Mus musculus: one gene and its partners. The protein of the gene in region 2 binds, or shares a complex with, the protein of the main gene of each other region. Links are inferred from orthologs where the notes say so. Each region holds a gene or a part of one and is shown on either strand. Other genes may lie near its edges.

What was found. Proteins that work in one complex are often made in the same cells at the same time.
Region 1: Sf3a3 (region 2) and Sf3b4 share a complex: the UniProt entries of both Homo sapiens proteins name them as parts of the 17S U2 SnRNP complex. The link is inferred for Mus musculus from reciprocal best matches to the Homo sapiens genes SF3A3 and SF3B4.
Region 3: Sf3a3 (region 2) and Sf3b1 share a complex: the UniProt entries of both Homo sapiens proteins name them as parts of the 17S U2 SnRNP complex. The link is inferred for Mus musculus from reciprocal best matches to the Homo sapiens genes SF3A3 and SF3B1.

What each region holds. Positions count from the first base shown.
Region 1 is NC_000069.6:96,171,062-96,175,318, reverse strand, and holds the start of Sf3b4 (splicing factor 3B subunit 4), read right to left. Parts: upstream 2,814-4,257; 5' UTR 2,746-2,813; coding exon 2,712-2,745; intron 2,349-2,711; coding exon 2,220-2,348; intron 1,779-2,219; coding exon 1,236-1,778; intron 997-1,235; coding exon 790-996; intron 1-789. Other genes in the region: Mtmr11 (myotubularin-related protein 11), read right to left, coding at 4,087-4,233. UniProt on the Homo sapiens protein: Component of the 17S U2 SnRNP complex of the spliceosome, a large ribonucleoprotein complex that removes introns from transcribed pre-mRNAs.
Region 2 is NC_000070.6:124,728,358-124,731,894, forward strand, and holds part of Sf3a3 (splicing factor 3A subunit 3), read left to right. Parts: coding exon 1-72; intron 73-1,101; coding exon 1,102-1,192; intron 1,193-3,013; coding exon 3,014-3,069; intron 3,070-3,336; exon of another isoform or gene 3,337-3,445; intron 3,446-3,537. UniProt on the Homo sapiens protein: Component of the 17S U2 SnRNP complex of the spliceosome, a large ribonucleoprotein complex that removes introns from transcribed pre-mRNAs.
Region 3 is NC_000067.6:55,024,666-55,028,781, reverse strand, and holds the start of Sf3b1 (splicing factor 3B subunit 1), read left to right. Parts: upstream 1-1,303; 5' UTR 1,304-1,415; coding exon 1,416-1,443; intron 1,444-4,116. UniProt on the Homo sapiens protein: Component of the 17S U2 SnRNP complex of the spliceosome, a large ribonucleoprotein complex that removes introns from transcribed pre-mRNAs.

The sequences.
Region 1 (4,257 bases), on a different chromosome or scaffold from region 2:
AAACAAAAAAAAAACAAAAGAAGAAGAAAATGTCTGTGAATACCCTGGAAAAGTTACTCAGTGAAAGTAGATGAGTCCCTGAGTCAGTGACAGGAAGTGAGTGCAGTCTGAGCACTGGCTTGTGACCAATGACAAAAACATAAGCTAGACTTGCTCTGCAAAGTGGAGGACAGAACAGACAAAGCCCCAGAGTTGTAAACTGGGCTCCTACAAGTGAGAACTACTGAAGATGGTGTCAGAAAGAGGAAAGTTAAGTGTGGGTTGAGCAGTGGCCTTTTCTAGCCTGCCAAGAACCTAAGACCAGAGACCAATGGTAAATTAGCACCTTCACATTTAACACTACAGAGAAACAAAGAAAAGAGAAACAAGCAAAAAATCTACACAAACATAAAAAAAGGAGCCGATCCAGGTTGCTATGGTTGACATTAGAGAAATCTAGAAACACGCACGCCTTTAGTCCCAGCACTTGGGAGGCAGAGGCAAGAGGATCTCTGAGTTTGACACTGCCAGCTACACAGAGAACCCGTTTCTCAAAAAGCCAAAAGCAGAAATGTCTTCTAGATTTGGCAACCTTGGAAGCAGAGGAGAGGTTGAGAGTTTTGCCCAGTACAAGCTATCCTTTAGGAAATACAAGAACTGGAGATAAAACAGGAGCACCAACACGTACAAAGTACTGTCTGTTTCTGAAGAAAAGGAGGACTCTGGACTATTTTCATCCAAGACTACCAGGACAGACAGTAAGAAAGCCCCTCTCACAAGCTCAGCTCCTTCCCAGCACAGAGCCCTTACCTGGATGGGGCATCCCACCTGGTGGGAACGGGTGAGGATGTGAGTGTCCGTGACCGGGATGTCCAGCCCCTGGAGTCCCTGCTGCTGGGGGGCCATGTCCTCCAGCCCCAGGTGGCATAGGTGGTGGGGGCATGGCTGGGGGAATCCCAGGAGGGAGGGCCCCAGGAGGTGGCACTGGAGGTGGAAAAGAGCCAGGAGGCGGCATGCCTGTGTAAGAAATGGAAGACAGTTAATGTCTTGCAGAGCTCCAGCCTCCCCCCTGCAGGCTTCCCTTCAGCTTCACTCCATCTGCCAACTTCATCCGCCAACTTCATCCCTTCCACCAGCACGCCTCACTCCTGTCTCACTGCCCAACAACTTAGCAGCTTACTCTACCAGGGCTGCTTCTGCCTCCTGAGCCTCCCTCCCAAGAGCCTCACTGGCACAGTCTGAACTCCAAGCTGTACCTGGTGGAGGAAGCCCAGAACCCAGGGATGAAACCACGGGATTGGGGGCAGAGGGCGGAGGGGGTGCATCGGCAAACAGCTGGTGAGGGCGGTCAGCCTGGGACAGCGGGTTCTGGGCTGCCAGGAGTCTTTCAGCTGCTGAGCCATGGCGTTCACCCTTAGAGTCCTTCTTGAAGGCATAAGACACAGTGATAGGACGGTTACACAGGTACTGCCCGTTCATGGCCTCAATTGCTGCATCCGAAGCATCGAAGGAGGCAAAATTAATGAAGGCGTAACCCTTGGAGTTGCCTGTGTCAGGGTCCCGCATGATCTTGGGGGTCTGTAGGATGACTCCAAAGGCGCTGAAAGTATCGTAAAGCAGCTTTTCATCAATTTCTGGGTCCAGATTTCCAATGAAAATGTTGGCTCCCACATCCAGGTTTTTGTTGTGAGCTGAGGCCTTGTTCACCCGTATTGGCTTTCCATAGAGTTTGATCATGTTCATAATCTTAATGGCATAGTCGGCATCTTCCTCGCTCAGGAATTCAACAAAGCCATAGCCTGGGGAATCAATGAAAAAAACAAAACAAAACAAAAAACAAACAAACAAAAAAAACCCATCATTCAGGGGAAGAGACTCAAAATGAAACATTAACTCCCCAGCCTTCAAACACAAAGAACATAATAGATAATAGCTGGGCGACTGCACGTGCACGTGCTTTTAATGCCACCACTTCGTAGCAGAGGCAGGTGGAGCTCAAAGATCGTGACCAGCCTGGTCTACAGAGCAAGATCTAGGACAGCCAGGACTACACAGAGAATGGTTGAGAATGGTTCCAGAAACTAGAGCTAAGAGAAAATATTCCAGAAACTGGGAATTGAAGCTGAAGGAGAAAGCAATCTTTAGGTTGCTCATTCCAAAGGCGCTGTGCCTAGCGGCTGAGCCTCTTCGGGGCCGGTTAACCCTCTCCAGGGCTGATTCCTGCCCCGTACCCTACTCACCCTGGTGCTGGCCAGTGACTCTGTCCTTGGGCATGTGGGTGTTGACCACTGGCCCTGCCTGGAGAAAGAGCTCCCACAGCAGCGGCTCACTCACTTTCTCGTCCAGACCGCCCACGTACACCGTGGCATCTAAAGGGAAGAAGCAGGCGATGAGGAGTCGGCAGTGAAAAAGAAGACAAAAACCAAAAACCGTCGCCTAAAGCCCTGAAATTCCCTCTGCCACCATCATCTAGAAAATCTGCTACGTCTAATTTGGCATTCTTGCTGGTCCGGTACTCCCGGGAGGCTTTTGTCTTCTTGGTGGAGGGAGCTGATCTAGAAGCATCGCTTCTCACAGGCCTCGGCCTGCACCCGGCCTCGCGGCCAGCCAGGTGCCCAGAGGTCGGTGTCCCACCGGGGGGGATCTCGTCTACCACCCCAGGGGGAACGCTTCCGGCACTAATCTTCCCTCCACTTCCCTGCTCCTATCTTGGGCTCTTCTCTCCCAATTACCCTGATTCCGTTCGGAGATCGGTCCGGCAGCCATGGCGAAGGGGCTCCCGCCGTCTCTAAGCAGCAGCACCGCCCCCTGACCTCAGTTACAACTTCCACTTCCGGGCCAAGGCTCACGTTGGGCGGGGCCGGCGCCGGGGGGGGGGGGAGGAGCCGGAAGCGATCGCGGCCATCTTAGGGGTCGGAGTCTTGTCTTTCGGAAGGGAAAGGCGCTCTAGGGCTGCTGCTGTAGTCGGGGCGGAACGGATGTGCTCAGCCCGTCTCGACACAGTTAACTAAAGCCCCGGATGCTTCCAGACTGTTAGAGGCTCACACGGCTCCCCAAACGCACATTCAAGTGCAAAACCAGGCTTTGTACGTTCTGTGACGCAGAGTTGTGTCCTAAGTGCAGGGCCAGGACTGCCTTCTGGAGCGACCTATTATTTAGTGAGGTCCACGACGCTCGTGCAGACTCGCCCTCGGCCTAGACTTGAGCCTGAGGTATTTTGTTTTCCCCTAAGTGTCAAATCTCCGCTTATCTTGGGAAATCTGGGACACGAAACCGGGTTGGGTTGCGGGCTGGTATCGAAGCTTTAAGGAGCAGACATGGATCTCTTGAGTTAAAGGCCAGCCAGGTCTACAGAACGAGTTCCAGGACAGCCATGGCCACACAGAAAACCTGTCTCAAAAAACAGAGTTCCAGCTGGCCTAATAGACACATAGAGACCATGTCTCAAAAAAGGTGTGCGGACCCCTTCCCCCATATTTTATGTGTATTTCTTCCAGGCCACGCCTGACTTGGATCCTTTATTTCCTTACAATAATTTGGGTGTTTTTCTCAGTTCACACCCTCCCCTCCACCCCCACGGCTTTGCTGAGATCTTCATTCAACACAAGAAAATACCAGCAATGTGTAGAAATACTGTGCTTTAATGAACTCCTTAAATAGAAACGCTGCTATGAAAATATACAGTGGGAGGAGACGGTTTCTCCCTTATTCACCTCGTTCCCACAGAAGACTAAGAAAAGATTTCAAAGTAGTGTAGAGAGGTTGCGAATGAGGTCTCTAGGACATCATTGTTGGGACTGATGAAAAGGGTCTCTCATGTCACAGTTTTGACGGCCATCCAAAAGGTACAGAATTGCCTGGGAAAAGGGGCAATCACATTCTGAACTGGTCTTGTTTCTTAGTTTTCAAATCACAAGAAATGAAAATAGCCCCAGAAATCAAACAAATCGGGAGACCTTTAGGTTGGTAGCGCCACCATCTGCTACAGAAACGGGCCTTCTAAGTGAACTCTGCAGACTGGAATGCCAAAGCTGAGGCGTCAAGGTCAGACAGGAAGATGAGCAGAGACCCCTGCCCTGCCTCTGAGAACGACGCTAACAAACAGTTTCAGCAGATCTGAGAGAGGATGGTATTCGGATCTCTTTTCTTGCTCTGGTCCTCGGGAGATATTCTTGGTGTCCATTGTCTTAACAGTTCCTGAAGGTGAGAAAGCTCATCCTGAAGGGCAGAGACTGTGAGAGCTGAGGAGCCCATCTGGGGAGGGGCAAAGCGCACAGA
Region 2 (3,537 bases):
ATCAACTACAACTGTGAGATCTGTGGGAACTACACCTACCGAGGGCCCAAGGCCTTCCAGCGGCACTTTGCGGTAAGGAGTTGAAAGCCACTGTTCTTGGGAACTAAGTAGAAACACACCACTTTAGAAAGAGAAGAGGACGGGAGCAGCCTGTGAGGGCCATTGGTGTCCAGAGCTGAAAGGCATCAGAGGCTGGGTTGGCGGCTGTAGCCCCGAAGCCTGGGCTGCTCTCTGGAGCTGCTGCCACTCTGCTGTGGAACGTGGGTTTGGCTTTCCCATGCTCGTCCTTGTACCTTTCCCTCCTGTTTTTCTGCAGCATCTTGGATCATTTCTGGCTTTTGGTCATTTCTCTGCATTGTTATTTAAGGGGGCTGGGCAGGTTTTGATTTTTTCAAGTTTTAAATGGGCCCTTGCTTCTTTGCAGAAGAAGTAAACTAAGCTTTGATATTTACCAACCTGTTGTTGACACGAGTAGAGTCTGAGTACCACCTCGTCGGTGGGCTCACCCTTGCTGCATTCTGCCCTTCACTTTTGGAGGGCAGTTACATAATGGAAAAGACATTCCGTATTAGACAAACATGGCAAGTGATGTGAGCTTCCCTCTCAGACCTGTTACCAGCTGCTCCCAGGTCCTTTCTCTGGGTCCCTGAGTGGCCTCTGAACTTTTCTTAGCTGGGTGGGGTTAGTGTCCAGGGTTAAGCCTGTGCTAGCTTTCTCTAAGACCTGAAGCTGTGGATTCATCTCGCTCTCCCTGCTCCTCCATCCTCCATACCTGCTCAGCAGTTTGCTCCTGAGCCTCCAGAAATGCCAGTCTGCCCTCACGGCCCCGCAGGGGTTTCTGGGTTGTGCCAGCTTCTGCCTAGCACCGAGTGACGAGTCCCAGGCATACTTCTCTGACACCACTAACCCTAGAACCTGAAGTTTGTCCACCTGAGATAGTGCAGCACTGCTTGGCAGTGTCGGCCTGTGTCAGTCCCAGCCCGCTGTGTAGACACACCCCAGAAGGAGTGCTGCCTTTCGCTGGGGTAGGGTCTATGGTAGAATGAAGTGGGTGCTGCCTCAGCCATCCCTGTTTCATGCTGTCCCTCTCCTTCCCTCCAGGAGTGGCGTCATGCTCATGGCATGAGGTGTTTGGGCATCCCAAACACTGCCCACTTTGCAAATGTGACACAGATTGAAGATGCTGTCTCCTGTAAGTAAGCTTGCCGACTGTTTCCCTAGCCAGACCAAGTAGCCGCTCCTACAGCTGTCCTAGAACCCTGCTGTCTCCAGGCCCAAGAGCAGGGGTTGTGGCTATAGAAAGCTAAGGCACACATATAATTACTGCATTTTTTATGGGAGCGAGCAAGTCAACAGTACTGATTATATCTCCTTGAAAAGAACCCTATGCTGAGGTTAGAACAGGGTCTTTAGCCTGAATCTATGAGCTTTCCTCTCTGGAGCATTCTGAGAGAGTTATTTGTTACTCTTCTGAAGAGACTTTAATGTGTTCAGAACCACTGATCCAGAAGGAAACAGAAGTGGCTCCATGCTCAGATTCCTCAGAGAGTGACAGCAGCGACGTACTCATTGGAGGAAGGGCCGGGGGTGGGGTGGGGTACGGCAGGGGAATGTGTGCCAGGTGCTTCACCTTGCCTGGCAGCCTCTGCTACTGACACCTTACTACAGGCTCCTTCTCATCCTTACTGCAGGCTCCTTCTCATCCATCTCTGTTAAGTTTCACTTCATGTGAGCCAGACAGTTGGTTTTATTTATTGATGGGTTTGGTTTGGTTTGGTTTTGTTCTAGACAGAGTCTCACAATGTAGCTTGCCTGTCCTGGAACTCACTCAGTAGACAAGGCTGGCCTCAAACTCAGAAATCCGACTGCCTCTGCCTCCCAAGTGCTGGGATTAAAGGTGTGTGCCACCACGCCCGGCTCATCTTACTTTCTTAAAACTTGCAGAACCACCTGCCCAGGGGTGTGGCAGCACCCACAGTGAGCTGAGCCATCCCGTGTCAGTCAGTAATCAAAGTGCAGCACAGCCGGGCAAGGTGGTGCACGCATTTAATCCCAGCACTCAGGAGGCAGAGGCAGGCGGATTTCTGAGTTCGAGGCCAACCTGGTCTACAGAGTGAGTTCTAGGACAGCCAGGGCTATACTGAGAAACCCTGTCTCGAAGAAGAAGGAAAAATAAAAAAAGAAAGTGCAATACTGAAAATCTGATGGGGTATTTTCTCACTTGACGTTCCAAACTAACCAGGACAGAGGCTGAGCATGGAAACAACTCCTTTAATCCCAGATCTCAGGTGACAGAGACAAGATCTCTGAGTTCCAGGATAGCCTGAGCTCGAGGACAACCAGGACTACATAGAGAAACCCTGTCTCAAAAAACAAAACAAGCTGGGCGGTTAATCCCAGCACTTGGGAGGCAGAGGCAGGCGGATTTCTGAGTTCAAGGCCAGCCTGGTCTACAGAGTAAGTTCCAGGACAGCCAGAGCTACACAGAGAAACCCTGTCTCGAAAAACAAAAACAAAAAAAAACAAGACAAAACCAAACCCTAAGCAGGACGCATGTGTGATGCCTTCTAAGCTATGATCCTGTTCATTTTATCCAAGTTTCTCCAGACTGCTCCACACTGCTTCTTTTGAGAGTGTTTCCTTTTTACTGTTGTAATCGTTTGTTTTGTTTTTGAGGCAGGGATATTCATTTAGCACAAACTGGCCTCAATCTCACTATGTAGCCAAGGCTAGCTTTAAGCTTCCTGATCCTTCTTCCTCTGTCTCCCAAATGCTGAGGTTACAGGTGTGTACATCACCCTGATTTCATGAGATTTTCTTTTACAGCAAGGTGAAATCATGATAAATTTCTCAATAAAAGTTTTATCTACAGGTAGTTCTAGATCAGAATTCCATTTGGGGGCTGGCAGTCATTAAAGGAACCTTCAGGGAGCTGGGCGGTGAGGGTGAGAATGACGTAACACTGCACAAGTGGACTGTGGGCCCTAATGACTGCTTATCTCCCATCCTGCAGTGTGGGCCAAGCTGAAACTGCAGAAGGCTTCAGAACGGTGGCAGCCTGACACCGAGGTGGGTGCTAATGTGGAGAGTGTTAGATGTGGCGTCAAGTGACAGCTTCCTCACCTTGCAGAGGAAATTCTCTGTACTAGCAAGTGTAATGAGACAGTGTCTACAAGGTGACTGTGTGAACCTGCTGCCATGCATCTAAGTCTTTGTCATCAGGCAGTTCTCCCACTGAGGACACCAGTCTCCTGTGCTACCCTAACGATTTCTAAAGAAGTCTGTCACTCTTAGGTCTCTGAGGAAAGCATCAGGTCAGAGGTAGTTCTCTCTTCAGAGTGGGGATGTGTCCTGGATGTTGGTCTTGACAGGTCTCAGAGGTGACTACCACACATTGAAGGGGTGGCGGTAACATCCTGGTCCTGTGGAGACTGTCATAGTCTCCTTTATTCTATGTCAGTATTTCAGTTCTGATTTTTCGCATCAAGAACCCTTTCAGCTACAGTGTAGACCTGAAACACAGACTGGCCACCCTGT
Region 3 (4,116 bases), on a different chromosome or scaffold from region 2:
CTGCCTCCTGAGTGCTGGGATTAAAGGCGTGCGCCACCACGCCCAGCATGAAAAAATCTTATTTTTATAAAAGAGGATTCACAAGACAATTCTGGGTGATCTTTTAGTGATGTTTATCATTACTCTGGAACTCCAGGAAGTATTTAGCTTCTACAATTACCACAAATGCAGCAAATGCTCCTTTGAATCTGTTATAGAAATGATAAGCCTTCCCAGTGAGAAAGCATCCTGCACATTTGGAGGATAATAAAGGAAAAAGGTCTGGCACAGCTGGCTCTGGCTAATGCTCGGTAGGGCCAGCCTTGAATACATTTTGATAACTTAGAGACACCTTAGGCTTATTTTCTCCAAATATGAGGTTATCCTCAAATTTGTAATTTAGGTCCCAACCCTGGGTTACATTTAGTACAACTTAAACAGAGACAGAAGGCTGAAAATCTGGTCAATAGGTCACTCCTATTTGCCTGGTCATTTAGGCATCAGTTATTGCCAGAATTATTTTAAGTGCACCAGTGTTGTACTTTTTCAAATAGTTGTTACCTGGGGTCATCTTACCCATTTGGCAGAATTATGTTTCTCTCAAGAAAAGAACTGGGCTTTATTGTAGATCAGGACTTAACATTGCTTGTGACCCTATACTATTCCCTTGAGCTGCCTGTTAAGAGAAGTATTCTACCGTATCTAATGGCTGGTCAATACTGGTGAACCAACATTAACATCTTAGGCATCATAAACTTTATTTCTAACAGGCCTGGCTAGCATACTGTTTATTTTTTGGGTGTCTTGGAGGCAGTGTTCCTTTGGCTAAATTCTATTTTGTGTAATTTAATCTCTCTCTCTCTCTACTTTTTATTTTTGTTTTTTTCGAGACAGGGTTTCTCTGTGTAGCCTTGGCTGTTCTGGAACTCACTCTGTAGACCAGGCTGGCCTCGAACTCAGAATCTGCCTGCCGCTGCCTCCCAAGTGCTGGGATTAAAGGGGTGCGCCACCACTGCCAGGCTCCTTTGGTTTTATTAAAGACAGGCTTTGTCTGTACAGCCCTGGCTTCGGGAACTCTCTTTGTAGACCAGGCTGGCCTCGAACTGCCTCTTCTCTTCCGAGTGCTTGAATTAACGGCACGTTACCCACCACTGGCCGGACAGGCTACAGCCCTCTTGGGAAGTAGCCATCCTCTTCCGCGTTTAGTCTTCCCCGCGGTTTCGCTGGCTTTTTAAGGAAGCCGCCGGGAGCCCGCCCTGGCCCCGCCCACTCCCATAATGCCCCTCGCAGTCTCATATAGGTGGCAGTTGAAGTACGTGCTACAGTGCGGCGCGCGCTCCCGGGTGCGCACGCTCAGAGAGCGGCCTCTGTTTCTGGCGGCGGCGAGCGGAAGTCCTTGGGAGCGCCAGTTCCGTCTGTGTGTTCGAGTGGACAAAATGGCGAAGATCGCCAAGACTCACGAAGGTAAGCGGCCTTTCCCTTCCCACGCGCGACCTCGGCAGCCAGCCAGCCGCGGCCCTCTCTCCTGGCTTTCTGCGTCTTCGCGTGGCATCTCTGGTCTCGACCGAGGCCGCGCGGCGAGGCCTGCTCGGCTCGTCGGCGCAGGCCGCTGCCCGCGTAATGGCGTCCTCTCGCACTCCGGGACCGGCGCTTTGTTCCGCGCTGGCTGTTGGTGCTTCCGAGTTCTCTTGTTCTGACCGGAGAGCCTCGCTCGAGCGGCTTGCCCCGGGGGACTCCCGGGGAGGGAGCGGGGAGGCGGACGTGGGAGGCCGACTTTCTCGCCCCCCGGGCGCTATCGTCGGCAGTTCGTACCTGGAAAGCCCTGAATGACGGCAGCCGCTTTCGGGCCGCTCCTAACGGAGGCCGCTTCAGCGCAGGCCTGCCAATCCCAGCCTTCGCGATACAGGCATCTCCAAGGCGGCTGGATCGTGTTGTGGTGCTTGCACTAAATGATTCCGGCAGAAAATCTGGTAGTTTACTCCTTTAATCACTTGTGTCCTGGTGTTCTATCTTTTTCCCTTTGAGAGCTAGGTGTTGGAGAATCAGGAGGAAGAGAGAAGGAAAGGCAGATTTGACCAGTTGCCAAAGTTTTCTGGGTAGTCGCTTATTTTATGCTGCACAAGAGTAAACAGAGCTAGAAACATGTTGAGAAGCAACCAGATTCCATAAGGAAAGTAACCAGAGAAGACGGGAAGGAATTTGAGTCTGAGAGACAGAATCCCTGTTTCTTGGCTCCCGGTTAAGAAGCCAAAATTTACGCTGACACTAAGTCACTAAACCCGTCCTTTCTAAGTGTGTGTCTCGGTGTTAGAGAGAGGTAACAAGCTAAGGATGTCAGAAATTTGACAGTTTGATGTGGAAGCAGATGTGTGAATATTCTCTTAGAAAATCAAAGGAATGTGTACAGAGAAGTAAAGCCAGTACTTTCTGAGAAGCTGGGTAACGGAGCCATTAATTTATGCTTAGTTATTTTTGGGAGGTGGTGACGCGGCGCTGATAAAAAAGGATCAATCAGTTTTAAATTAGGGGAGGATGTCTGAGCCGGAGGGAACATCTTGTACCATGCAGTGAGTGTCGCTGTGGTAGGATAGAGGAGGGTGTAAGGAGGGAATTCCGATGCGAATCTAAAGAGATGGTTTAGGACCAATAGCTGGGACATTTGAGGAACTGAAAATACTAACACTTTTGAAAGCCAGAAATGTCCCTGCATTAACTAGTCTTTTGTCTTTAAACATGAAAGTACAACACATGTTTTTGTTTTCTTTTTTGAGATAGTCTTACTATGTAATTCCGGTTGCCCTGAAACTTCCTGAATAGAGGAGACTGGGTCCCACTTCAAAGAAACTCATCCTCCTGCCTCTGCTTCCCAAGTGCTGGGTAAAAGGCCTGTGCCTGGTTAGCCCAACACTTTTTTTAAAAAAAAAGATTTATGTGAATACACTCTGTCACTGTCTTCAGACACACCAGAAGAGGGCGTCAGATCCTATTACAGATGGTTGTGAGCCATCTGTAATTGAATTGAACTGAGGACCTCTGGAAGAGCAGTCCAGCCCCTAGCCCAACACTTTTTAAAGCCAGAAATGTTTTTGGCCTCATTATTTATCTTTAGACTACTTCAGATATTGTTTGTAAAATAATTAGGAAATTGAATCGTGTCGCTGTTTTGTTCAGTCAGTGGTAGGTTATTTATTTTAATTGTTTTCCATTGTGGGGAACCAGTGAAATTATTGGACTTCCAGAGCATGGGGGAGGGGAAGTGCTTACTGAAGGAAAGCATGGTTTACTCCTTACTGGCTTCCTTATAGCTGCATAGGTAGAGTCCCATACCCTAATAGGTTATTGATTTATGGAGATTTATGGATATTTTGTAGCTTTGATTGTTGGCTTATTGATATCTTCAATGTAGCATACTCCCAGTTGGATAAATGCAAAGTTTATTTTATGTGCATTAATATTTTTGCCTGCATGTAACGTCTGTCTGAAGGTGTCAGATTCCCTGGAATTGGATTAAAGGACAGTTGTAAGATGCCACATGGGTGCTGGGAACTGAACCTAGGTCTTCTGGAAGAGCAGCCACTGCTCTCAGCTGCAGAGCCATCTTTCTGGCCCTGGTAAATGTAAAGTTTAGGGTCCTTTCCTCTTTCCTTTCCCCTTCCCTTCCCTTCCCTTCCCCCTCCCTCCTCCTTTCCTTTCCTTTTTCATTGTAGAAGCCCAGCTAAACTTGTTTTCAAAAATTGCAATTGCTTTTTTTTTTTTTTTTTTTTTGGTTTTCGAGACAGGGTTTCTCTGTGTAGCCCTGGCTGTCCTGGAACTCACTTTGTAGACCAGGCTGGCCTCGAGCTCAGAAAATCCGCCTGCCTCTGCCTTCCGAGTGCTGAGTTTCGATTTTTTTTTTGTAAAAATTGCTATTTTATTTAGGATTATTTTATTATTGAATTAATAAAAAATATTATAGAAGTATGTCACAATTTGGTATAAGGTCCCTCAGTATAAATCTTTATTGTCTTAGTCTTTTTTTGTTGTTGTGTTGTTGCTACGTTTGTTTGTTTTGAGACAGAGTTTCTCTCTGTAGCTCTGTCCTGGAATTTGCTCTGTTTATCAGTCTGGCCTAGAACTTTTTTTTTTTTTTTTAGACAA